Linked DNA regions of Drosophila melanogaster. The protein of the gene in region 1 purifies or fractionates together with the protein of each later gene. This does not show direct contact. Each region holds a gene or a part of one and is shown on either strand. Other genes may lie near its edges.

Region 1 (8,105 bases):
AAAACTCTATAGCCCAAAGCCTAAAGTTAAAACTAATTCAGCCGCTACAAGATACACAAATTTCAGTTAAGGACGCTTAAATTTTATTTTTGTTTTAGCTAAACAAATTTGACGCCCGTTACAAAGGTCAGTAGCTTAGTGAGCCGAAACAGACACCTGCCAGACGCGGATGGTGTTGTCGGAGTAGCCGGCGAACAGAGTCTGGCCGTCGGTGGACCAGGCCAGGGACAGGCACTGGGGCTGATCGGCCTTCGACGTGGGCGAAACGACCTCGGGGCGCAGCTCCTCAACGGTCTTCTTGCATGCCAGATCCCAGATCTTGATCGAGGGTCCGTAGGCCACGCACAGCCAGTAGCGGTTGGGCGAGAAGCACAGGGCGTTGATGATGTCGTTGTGCTCCAGAGTGTACAGGTTCTTGCCGTCATTGAGGTCCCACAGCAGGGCCTTGGAGTCCTTGCCACCTGAGGTGCACAGGGAGCCATCGGGCGAGACGGTCACCGTGTTCAGGTAGCCGTTGTGGCCGTGGTGGTTGTTCTTCAACTTGCAGTTAGCCAAGTTCCAGACCTTGACGGTGCGATCCCAGCCGCAGGACACGATGATCGGGTTGGAGTGGTTGGGCGAGAAGCGCACGCACGACACCCAGTCGGTGTGGCCATCCTCCTGGATGGTGAACTTGCACTCAGCCAGGGTGTTCCACAGCTTGATGGTCTTGTCCCGAGAGCCGGACACGATCTGACGGTTATCGGCCGAGAAGGCAACCGACAAAACGTCCTAGAAAGCGAACAAGCATTTGACGATTAGCTAATGGTATTGGTATGGTTTTCATAAAAATAATATATTTACTGGATATTTCACTGACCAACTGAATGGGCATAGTCCCAACTCAATTAGTCAGTGAACGGAATCCAGATGGGTTTCTTGCAACTAATTAGGAATCAATGGGTATCAGAGATTGTTTGCCTACTTACGATGGAGCTTCAAGCAATTTATAGCCGAGACTCGAGCGAAGGGTGAAGCGTACGTCGTACAGATGTCAACCAGTAATTCTGCCTCGCATAGGCGCAATATATATTTTTTCGATTTGTACGCGGCAAAGGCGGGCCTAACCTCACTCCTAACCTTACATTTAGCCTTTTGCCGGTACAGATCGGTTCAAAATCTCAGTTCCCTAAACGAACTAAATGCAATTGGAATCTTATCCCACCTTAGTGTGTCCCTCGAAGCGACGGGTGGTCTTGCCGGCGGCCAAATCCCACAGGCGAAGGGTCTGATCCCAGGATCCGGACAGGGCGTAGTTGCCATCGGAGGAGAGCACCACGTCGCTGATGAAGTGCGAGTGTCCGTAGAGACGCTTCTGGGGGTAGCCGTAGTTGGTGTCCTCGTCGCGGGTCAGCTTCCACACGATCAGGGTCTTGTCTGCGAATCGAGATGGTGGCCATTAATATACGCACGTGCTACCAGATAAATCCGAAGAATTTCAATGGCGATTACTTACCACGGGAGGCCGAAATTATGGTGTCGGGATCCTTGGGGTTGGTGGCGATCTGGGTGACCCATCCATTGTGGCCAATGAGGGTACCGCGCAATTGCAGGGTCTCGGACATCTTGAGTTTATATTATTTGCTACGGAGCGCGAAGGAAACACGTCCAAAGGCGCTGCAAGCTGGCAGAAAAAGAGGCAGTTCCGGTTCCAGTGCTCGCTAAGATGCCAACTGTCAGCGAGCGTTCAGTGTTGGACAGGACAAAACTATCGATAGTTTGAATTTTCTGTTACAAATAATACGTGTAAAATGTAACGTCAAATAATAATATCAAAAACTTTAAAATATATATAAAAAAAATAAATACTTTTACACCAAGTATTAATATTATTATATCTAAAGAACCCCAGAAATATTGAAGTTTAGTTTTAAAACAAATTGTGCTATTATTTAAGAAATAATCGACGCTAATGCACATCTATGAAAAGACTACTAAAGGATTTTAAAACAATCCCAATATCTTGTTGCCCAAATGCCTATGTACATACTTTTATTTTGTCACTATCACGTAATAATGTAAAAAAAACGGTGAGCGTTGATCCCACTTTATTTTCTAGTTTTACTTGGTAACTGTTGGCCAAATAGTAAGGATACCATCCACAAGTTTTAGTCGGTATTTTTGTAGAAATGTCAAGCATGCATCGCTAATCGATACACACACACACAGCGCGTTCTTAAGCGTTTCGCGGCAATCGGTCACACCGAGGGCAGTCTTTCCCTTCGTATATCGTGTCGTCGTCTCTTTTGTGAACAAAAAATACGAAGAAAATCGCCCAAATCGAGTTGATTCGATTGGCAATTGTGTGGAGATAAACGAGTGAATACGCGGTTGGCAATCGAACGCAACAGTAGTTGCTAATTTTCCTGCACCCCTGAGTTATAATAAAAGCCGTCAAAATTGAATCGACAAAGATTGACGAGACTTTTTCTTCCACCACAACTGCGATGGAGGATAAAGCAACAACAAAAGATCTTGATCAATGGATTGAGCAGTTGAACGAATGCAATCAGTTGACAGAGACACAAGTTCGCACCCTCTGCGACAAGGTAAGGCCCGGTCCTTGCCCATTTTCCCCATGCGAATTAGGAGATGTTATAAAAATAATTTTCGTCATTGCATGCGAGCGAGCGATTTTTTTTTGCAAATGGTGCTCCAACGCTGCGTGTCTCTGGCCCTCTCGCTCTTTCCAATGGGGAGAGGCGCTGAGCGGAGAGCGCGAGAGCATGATTCATGTCGTGCCCTCTTGCTCGCACAGTAGCGGCGGCTTGCGTCGCCATATTGGAATATTGGTAAATTCCAACAGCCAAGCGCCGCATTGCCGCGCACAAGTGCGAGCGGGACAACGGGACGGGCAAGTGCGTGCGTGAATGCGACAGCTAGAACAGCGCTTTGGTCTAATGGGCTAAACCTGGGCAAAAAGAGATATTTCTTTTTGTATTATTGTACAATTTGATTGTTTAACTAAAGTGCATTGTGCGTGTTTAATGTTGTTGTTATTGTGTCCACCGGAAACTGAGCACCCCCGCTCCGTGCAACCTCATGCGCGTTTTGTCGTTGCTGAGTAAATATTACTTAATGTTTTTGTGCGTCGGTGTGTGCGCGCCCCTAGAATATGTATCTATGTACCGTCGTATCTCAATTCTAGAATAATGCACTTGCATTGGTGTTTGTGTTCCTTTTTTTATGACCAACCATGTTCAATTAAACACTTTTGATATCAATTGTTTTTAATTTGCCGATTTTACCGTTCATCAGGCGCGTCGCGCACACAAACAAACAGACAAGCAAAAAGAGTGCAAGAGAGGGAGAGAAAAAGAGAGGGTGAACAGATAACGATTCATTGATTTAGGAGTAAGTGGGGTTATGTTTGCGTCACCCAAATATTTGTCAGTGTTCCCATTAGAATCTTGAATCTCCGTTCTCCCTCCGAGAAGAACGTTCTTCGCTCTTCTCGGGTGCGTCTTCTGCGGCCTCTCTCCATCCTTCCCGTTGCTACGAAAAGAAAAGCGGAGAGTACGCGGAGAGAGCACAAGCTGCATCAGTGTTTGTGCATGCATCTGTATGGGTGCGCTGGCCTCGTCATGAGTTCAAAAATTATTTTTCTTTTTTTTTTTTTTTCGATTTCTGGCCAAGCGGAAGCAACAGCCTCCAAGGTAATGCTGTGCATATGGCAAAAAATCTAATTGGCTCACGCACAAATCGCTCATTTGCGCCGCCGGATTCTACCCCCGGAACTTGTTGTCATGTCCCATTTCGTCAGCTGATAAATATAAGAATTCGCAAAGAACACGGCGGAATGGTCAAAATAAATGTGCAATTTTTGTTTGCTCATTTTGGCACATTTATGTTTGTAAAAACCGGTTTTTTTGATGCTGTATATTGACGCCCATCGGGAATTTTTGAATCGACCTTCATATTTTATTTTACTAAAGACGATAGAATACTTTCCAGAATCGTGAATTTGTTATGTTTATACGGACAACTTTTTATCGTACGTTCATCTTATCTCAACTTATTAAAAAGCTTTGCTTCCTTTGTTTTGATTTTCATACAGCTTATATTAGCAACTTAAACTTGTTTGCAACTGACGCAAAATTCGATGAGAAAATAGTTGAGGTTCTTCGCTTGTTGACCAAATCTTGACGGATAACCTTGGCCTTTGACAAGGTTTTATCATCCGCACATGCGGATCACTTTCGGTTTTCTCAGTACTTTCTGTTTCGCAGATATTCTGTCATGTCATTCACCATTCACCGAATTATGGCAGGTGAAAAAATAGAACATCAAAGTTTCCATATTACTTTCATTTGGTTAACTATTTACACACAAACGTAACAAAAATGTTTTGTAATTTCCGGAAATTTTGCTACATGTTTATGTTTTTCTTATAGGAAGTAGCAATGTTTAGGTACACAGTTTTATAGGGTTTTGCGGGAAGCTATTTTCAGAATTACCCAAGAGATTGAGTTTTGATGCCATTAAAATTTCTTGTGGGATGTTTAAAGAGAACAAGTGATATTTATTTCCCTCGATTCTCTGTAAAAAAACGCATGCACTTATCCAATATATTTGTTTTAATTTCTCTTCTAGTTACAAGCTATTTTTAGAGTACACTTTGAGTGTTGGCGTTGAGTCATTAAGTATAGTGAATAATGTACAAAGTACTAATCGTTTTATTTATCTTTTCTGACCCTGGAAACGATTTGGGCTAGATTATGTTAATCAGTATTTTAATATTGGTATTCAAAGTTGTTTATTCGGTTATTCGAATAGGGAGGTAACATTAAAACGTATCTCCCTAAAAATATCCATAAATAAATTGCTGATTGGTCTACTGTTTCCATTTCTTTACAGGCCAAGGAGATTCTCTCCAAGGAGTCCAATGTGCAGGAGGTAAAATGCCCGGTGACAGTGTGCGGAGATGTCCACGGTCAGTTTCACGACCTCATGGAGCTCTTCCGGATAGGCGGCAAGTCTCCGGACACCAACTACCTGTTCATGGGCGACTACGTGGACCGTGGATACTACTCCGTGGAGACCGTGACCCTTCTGGTGGCCCTGAAGGTTCGCTATCGCGAGCGCATCACCATCCTGCGCGGTAACCACGAGTCGCGCCAGATCACACAGGTGTACGGCTTCTACGACGAGTGCCTGCGCAAGTATGGCAATGCCAACGTTTGGAAGTACTTCACGGATCTGTTCGACTACTTGCCACTGACGGCACTCGTCGACGGGCAGATCTTCTGCCTGCACGGAGGCCTCAGTCCCTCGATCGACAGTCTGGATCACATTCGGGCCCTCGATCGCTTGCAGGAGGTTCCGCACGAGGGTCCCATGTGCGATCTGCTCTGGTCCGATCCCGATGACAGGGGTGGCTGGGGAATCTCGCCTCGTGGCGCCGGTTACACCTTTGGCCAGGTGAGTGTTGTCTGCATGTTGGCTATTTCTCAATAAAATTCGGAGCTGATTTGCCTAGCTTGGATACTTGGAAATTTATTCTTTAATCACATTGTAAAATTGTTAAGTGAAATACATCTGAAGACCCGATTAAAACTAAGCTGAACAAAAATTGTCTGCTCAAAAGCATGCAAATATATTCTAGATAAATTTTTTATTGATCTTAATAGGAAATTTTATCGGGGCATGCACTTGATGAAAATCAATAATCAGTAATCGAAGTCTACTGCTGATATAGGCCCAACTGATAACGCAATCAATGGAAAGAGCTTTCGTTATAAATTGTTTTGACATTTCAAACCGTCAACTACAAAACAAATTTTAACTATCCAAATCGAATTTCATTGAGAAAGAGCCAATTACTTCTATAAGCATTTTTACTAATATTTCCATTTTATTTGAAGGATATTTCGGAAACCTTTAACAACACAAACGGCCTGACACTGGTGTCGCGCGCCCATCAGCTGGTGATGGAGGGCTACAACTGGTGTCACGATCGCAATGTGGTCACAATATTCTCAGCGCCAAACTATTGCTACCGCTGTGGCAACCAAGCGGCTCTTATGGAACTGGATGATTCACTTAAATTTTCATTGTGAGTGGCAATTCGCTTGAGCTGCCTTTAAATGCGGCATGTCTGACTAATCTAATCGTTTGCATTTATTTTAGCCTACAATTTGATCCAGCACCCAGGCGCGGGGAGCCTCATGTTACGCGAAGAACACCCGATTATTTCCTTTAAGCTGGATTGCTCGCACCTACGCAGCTTACATTTACACATATTACATCGCATTATAACAACAAGAAGAACCGAAACAATATATAATATATACAAATCCAACCAGCAGCAACAAAATAAACAAAATGGCAAGTGCTGTCGAAAAAAAAACTACCATAAAAAACAACCCAAAACTAAAAACCTCGATGCATTTGTTTTGTGGAGGTCGTTTTAAACAGAGAGCAGTGGAAGAGATATTGTATAAACAAAGAAAAAAAAAGTAACCATAACAGTCGAGAACACAAAAATGCATTGAACAGTTATTGTTGTTGGCCACAGTTTAAAAGAAAAGGAAAAAACCGGAAATGTCGCCAGCGGGGGCGGCAGGCAGAAAATTTATATCAAAGATAAAGGGGAGGAGCAGAAGGAGAAGCAGTATACAGAAATGATACAATCCAATCGAACCTACCAACCAACCCAGAAACCAAGCAACAAAACCGCAAGCAACAAGAAGAACTACAACTACTTAGCTAAATTTGTTAATTTATAAAAATAACGAACTAAGCGTCGCAGCAGAAAGCCAGGGAGCAGGAGTGATGGATGGATGGACTCATGGATTATGACGTGATGTGTGTGTGGGCGGAAGGGGCTGACAAAGGACTAAACGGGACGAAAGGACGAACGCCAGGACGTAGCAGCATAAGCAAGCAGCAGCGGTAGCAGCAGCAGAAGCAGAAGCAGACGACCCACGACCGACAAAGCAGGAAGATAACGATGAAGCAGCAGCAAAAAAGTAGGAGCAGTATGTGGCAGGAGCAGCAGCGAACGCCATTGCGATGGGGGAAGCGCGGGGCGGGCCAGCGATTTATATAAAAACAAAAATTATAAAAAAGAAAATAAGGAAATACAACAAATTTAATATTACTGATTAAAATTAAATAAAAAAAAGCGAATAAAACTATTAAAAAACAAACAAAAAAGCAAAGAAAAATGATTAAAAAAAATTCATTATCAATTAAGTTCATATGTAACTTTAATAATAATAAAAGAAAGAAAAAAAAAACAAACAAACAATTCCCACCTGCCGACGAAGAGAGCCATCGAAGAGCGCGCGTTCAAGGGAGAAAGTCCTTTAAGAGAGACCCATGCGAACGATTTTGGTTTTTCGTTCTGGCAATGACGCTCCCTTTTGGCCTGCGGGCTCCTTTGGTAGTGTGTATGCGAACATGGCCAAGTTAACACGAGGCCACCACGACGAGCGGAAGTCGAGCCTCAAACGGGCCACCTAATTGAGACCACAAAGGAGGCGATATGGGTGTGGGGGAGGTGATATATGGATGGATGGCAGAGGGCAGATAGAAGGGACGGAGGTCGTGGTGCCAGCCAACCAATGATGCCCAAGTCAAAATCTAAATCAGAGCCGGGCTGCCTTTGATTCCCAGCGAAAGCGAAAGCAAAAATCTTGCCAACTTTGTATAAATTTTTGCATATTTTAGCAGCCGCCCACACGAACTGTCAAAAGTCATGTACAGTGGTCGCTCTCTATTGTTTCTGTTTACAAAGTATTTTGGAAACTATTTCGATTGGATTTGATGTTCCTGATAATTTAGTTGGTTATTTAACTTTAGCATACGAATGAAAAGTATATTAAGAGCAAGAAAGTAAACGATATATAAATAATAAACATTTGGCAATAGTAGAAACCCTAGAATATATGGATTATTCTGAGATAAGCAGTTCGTGCACCGCCAGTTGGCACTGTATCCACATGAGTTTTGGTCTGGATGAAAATCTAAATTTGAGAACATGCTGGATCGAGGATGGGGACTCTCAAGTGCCCAAGAACTTGGCGAGCAAACAACCATACCCATACGTACACCTACCGAGA
Region 2 (4,866 bases), on another chromosome or scaffold:
CGAGAAGGCCGCCCAAATGCGTCTCTTGCAAGCGGAGCGAGAGCAGCTGCGCGAGAAGATTGAGGCACTAAACAAGCTGGTGGTCAGTTTGGGCGTGGAGCTACCCGCAGATGCCGCCCAGGCAAAGCAACCAGAAGCGGCCGCAGGTAGCGAACACACTCCTGGCGAAGGTGAAAACTCGCAACAGATCATCAACAAGATACAGGACATTATCAGCGAGATCAAGGAGAACACGGAGCAGCCAAGCCACAACCATGCAGGAGACCATCTCAACTGTTGTATGGGCAAGTTCGAGGTAGTCTAAAAGAAGTGCAATTATCGCCTACCTACGTATAATCATTACCCTTTTGCTACTGTATTTAATTGTAATTGTAATTGTACTTTGTTCTTCAGAGTCTTTTGTAAATGTTTCCAACAACTTTGTGCGAATAAACGTAGTTTGCATCTAAGAGGAATCTATAAAATGAGTTCCCCTAAAAGCGTATTAACAAATAATTAATTGAAACGTTGTTTTATTCACAAATGAACATGTAAAAATTAGACGTACTTTTAAATTCCTATTGGCATCTTTGGGTGATGATGATGATGGAGTGTCTTCCTTCCGATAGCGCTGGATGAACTGAATATGCCCTCTATTGCAGGCAAAAAGTAATCCGATGTCAGCTTTTAGTCTATAAATTAAACTTATCAGGGCCTGACGATTTAAAAATATTATTCATATTAAAAATGGTAAAAAGTGGTATTGAAAACCAATGAAATTACAGAAACAACATTAAAGCCTATTAAAAAATTCGTCTATCTACTTTTTGGCCTTGGCCTTGCCTTTCGAGCCATTGCGCAACTTGTTCTTCAGACTTGGCTCCACCAAACTGGTGGGCCTGCAGCTTCTACTCGGCCTTGCGCTGTTGTTGCAGAAAGAACTAGACATATCCGTATTTTCTGATTTCTTATTAGCCGCAGTTCGGCTTCTAGTTCTTATAGATGGCATTTCCTCGACGAGAAAGGATTTCGGAGTGCTGGTGCTTCCGGCCATTTTGCCTATCCCATTGAACAGGCTTCTTCGCGGCGTTAATCCGTTGACATCAGGAAATATTCCAGACGATTGACTAGGCCTGGTGACTGCCAGTCGTGGGCACTGTATGCTTGGCTCCTGTGGAGAATCTTCCACAGCTACGGAAATAGCCAACCATGATCCCTTCCCAGTCTCTTTTCCCCGACTGAGGGACACTGCTACAGGGATATTGGTGTCCACTTCCCGCAGAGCCCGTCCACTGGGCGTGACGGTGACTTGGGCGTTTGGCGGACTACTTTCAAACGTTGTGTCGCAATAGATGGCCTCGCATGATGATGACGAGTCTGTGGACTCCCCTTCACTGCCATTTTCCTCTATAATGCTAAACAGACGATTGTTCTCTTCATTTTGCTCAGTCTGTGTCTCCTCCACGGGGCTTACTGCTTCGTCGAAATCATCGTCCGAGTCGTCCTCATCAAACACTAATTCCGCTGGTCTTCGTGGCGGTGGTGTAGGCTGTACTCAAGCCGATAATGAATCGTTAAGAAAAGCATAATCAAATTTAAGTATAAGTTACCTTGTTGGCTCTTCTATCCTCTGGTATCCTAGTGGTCACCACCTCGGACTGCACTTCTGCGCTGGAGCGGCGACTAGTGGACGATACAGTACTGGTCACTGAGGAAGATCTTCTTGGCGAGATTGGTCTGGTGGTGCGGGCCAACGCACACGTCCGTCGCATGTCCTTGCAGATTTCCCTGGAGCTGCGACGCGGGCCGCTTGGTCTGTTTATCTGAGCTGCGGGAGCGGGCTCCTGACGCACTGCCAGGGAATCGGAGTCCACGTTCAGGCTCAGCATCAGGCTGCGTACGATACTGATGTTCTCCATGCGCTGGCGATGGTTTTGCAGGACGTGCTCCTCCCGAATGTCCATGATCTCTCGCTCCAAAGATATCACCCGCTTCCTGTACTCGCCGATCTCCAAGCGCTGCTTCTGCACTTGGTCCATTAGCTCCGCATTCAGCAGCTTGTACTGCTGCTCCACTTTGGATCCCATTTGCTTCTTCTGATCTACTTATTCCATACACAAAATCCAGACAGACGACGCCAATAGCTTGTTTTGAATTTTGAAATAGAGTGACCGTTGTTGTGCTATTGGAATATACCCCAGCTTAAGGAAAACTTTTTGAAAGTATGGCAACGCCGACCATGCTCTTAATTAAAATGAAATTCTTTAATTTTGGGCCATATATATAAGAAACAATACAATCCGATGTGAATATATTTTATTTTAATAATTATAAATTTGTTTGTCTCATTTGCACGACAAGAATTAGGAACCGTTGAGTTGGTGCGAATTTGATCGTACATGCGTTACCAAGGGTAATTTTCCATTTAAATTCTACACGTATGCCAAAATGCTAAAATTTCGCTTAGTGGAAGCTGTGTATATTGCGGGACACCGATTTCGATAGGCACAAACCATCGAGAGACATCGATACGTCTATGTTTCTCTTACACCTCTAAGCTGCACAATAAATTTATTGTTTTCTCGACCGATTGCGAAGAAAATCTGGATATCCGTGGTAGATAAACAATGCTGCAGCGCTAGAACCCGGAAATCGAAGTGAATACGCGTTTCGGGAGGTTGTAGATACACCTTGCAGAACGCGAAAATCGCACTGAATCAGAAGTCAGCCCACCTGGCAGTGTGTGCGTGCGTGTACGTGAGTGAGAGTGTGCTGTCGCAGTGTGCGTGTGTTTGTGTAAAAATGAAAATCAGTCGGATTTGTATCGTCGTTGTACGTCTTTTAGGCATTTAGCCAGGCTTTTACACATTTCTACAATTCTTACCAACAGTGGGAGGGACTTTCCCCCCGCACTCACAGGACACGATACACATCACATGCAACACCTGTGCACTCGAAAAACGATAGACGGATCTAGCGCGCGGATTAACTTAACTTAGGAACACGGATACGGATTATACACCATAGTTTCGGAAAAATACATTAGGGAACCGCTTGCTATGCTGTTTCATCTCCGCCAGAGAATCACGACAATCACCTGCTGAAACACCGAAGACAGCCAGCAGCCCAGAGAACCGAGAATTTCATTCACAGAAGCTACGACCGCAGTCGAAAACCGAAACCCGCTTCAAGGTGAGTCTGTTTGTAAATCCAACTCGTTTGGCTTTGTACCCATTTAGTCGATTGAGTGCATCACTCAGCACTCAGAATCCGAAGTGGTACGGACTTATCGAGCGACCTTATCAATTCTATTTCGCACGGTGCCCAGAAATTTGGTAATTTATGGCAAGTTCAGGAACCTCTTCGGTACCAGTTCCATGTAGGCAATTATCTTATCGCGCCCTCCGACAATTTCGCCACGATATTTGCGACTAATGGTTGTGTGTATGTAAAATTGCATTTTCCAAGATATGGGGCTATATCTTATAGCCTCGAGGTACACAATAAACAAACACATACCAGCGTTAGTAGGCAGCTGTATTTAGACTTTTTATAATATTTATTCATATGTCCATATTCCAGATTAATCACCATTATTTGCATATATTCTAAGTATAGCCGACAGTCCATGTCTTGCCCGATTTGATTTAATATTTGAGCTTGCATGAAATTTATTTTTTCCTGTGTCGGAGAACACGAAAAGCCTTTTCCACCGTCTAACCGGCTAAAAGGGGTGCAATAAACTCGGGTCGCTTTGATTTTCTCCTGTTCCGTCAGCGAATGCACTTTGTTTTGGTTTGTTGTCGCTTTGTCTTAATCACATTAAGCAAAACGCCCGGGCACGCGACGCATGACGACACCAAGTGTTGCAACACCAGCGAAGACCCATGGAGCATGTGGCCACCCATGCCACCCCATAACTGACCTACAAAGAGTGCATTGCTCGACGGCCGACGAAAACTAAATTCGCTGACTAGGGGTTGATTCATTCGCTTGGCTCCCTTCAGCGATGTGAGTGCGAATTGTGGCGGTTGAACTTCGATGGTATGACATAATCTGGGCTCTTACTATAGCCATTTGAAGAGGCATACAATCGCAATCTTTACATTAGATTTATTACTTGTAGAGTTAGTCACAAGTTTTAGCTTAAGCGTGCAACTTCTGGTGTCGTGGTACCGGTGTCCGGGTTCCAGTTGTCCAGCACTCCCATTAGCTGAGCAACGAATATCTGATAGTCGAGGAACGTCTTGTTTATATTCTCATTTCTAAAATGCTTTACTACTCTGCGATGGTGGAAAACAGATATCAAAACATTGAAATACAAGACTATAGAAGTTGTTATAAGTAATTTCTTTTCTCTGTACCGAAAATAACCCTCGTGGCCAATTTAGTGCGCTCTTTAAACCATCCACAAGTGTGAATGGGCTTCGAGCTCCTTTCCGTAATGCTATGCATGGCACAAAGGGTCGTCCCAGTCGCCGGGTTCAATGTCATTGGCGTGGCGTAGGCCATGGCAGCGGTGGGCACATGGCACCGACCCATCCCAACGTCCCATTCCATGGCATCCCGTCCAGGAGTCTGCCTGCTGCCGGTCTATTGTCGAGGCTGTTGTGCATGCCCCACTGCAAGTACACACAGAAATATCGAGTGCTGCTGCAGTGACACACGCAAAGACTGGTGATTGAAGGGAGGGTGGAGGTGAAGGTGTGTGGGGCACGGGGTGTGGATATGGGGTTTTATGGCCACGGGGAGTGGGCACTTGTCGGCCTTGTGTGCGGCCATTTGTCAGTCGAATTGGCTGTCGTGCATTTTTCGAGCACTGCATCACACGAGGTCTGATTGGCACGTAGTAGAGAGAGAGAGTCGGTCGTTTCTGTCAGCCTTTAT

What was found.
Region 2: the proteins of mts (region 1) and mei-S332 purify together in Drosophila melanogaster (affinity purification with mass spectrometry; 3 studies listed by BioGRID, with this or other methods). This does not show direct contact.

The regions. Positions count from the first base shown.
Region 1 is NT_033779.5:7,825,566-7,833,670, forward strand, and holds mts (microtubule star), read left to right. Parts: upstream 1-2,084; 5' UTR 2,085-2,486; coding exon 2,487-2,588; intron 2,589-4,896; coding exon 4,897-5,460; intron 5,461-5,903; coding exon 5,904-6,094; intron 6,095-6,168; coding exon 6,169-6,241; 3' UTR 6,242-8,011; downstream 8,012-8,105. Other genes in the region: Rack1 (receptor of activated protein kinase C 1), read right to left, coding at 136-771, 1,205-1,416, 1,496-1,604.
Region 2 is NT_033778.4:22,120,198-22,125,063, reverse strand, and holds mei-S332 (meiotic from via salaria 332), read right to left. Parts: upstream 2,964-4,866; 5' UTR 2,864-2,963; exon of another isoform or gene 2,502-2,863; intron 2,162-2,501; 5' UTR 2,067-2,161; coding exon 1,590-2,066; intron 1,529-1,589; coding exon 800-1,528; 3' UTR 697-799; downstream 1-696. Other genes in the region: GM130 (golgi matrix protein 130 kD), read left to right, coding at 1-304. UniProt on the Drosophila melanogaster protein: Plays a central role in chromosome cohesion during meiosis and mitosis by preventing premature dissociation of cohesin complex from centromeres after prophase, when most of cohesin complex dissociates from chromosomes arms.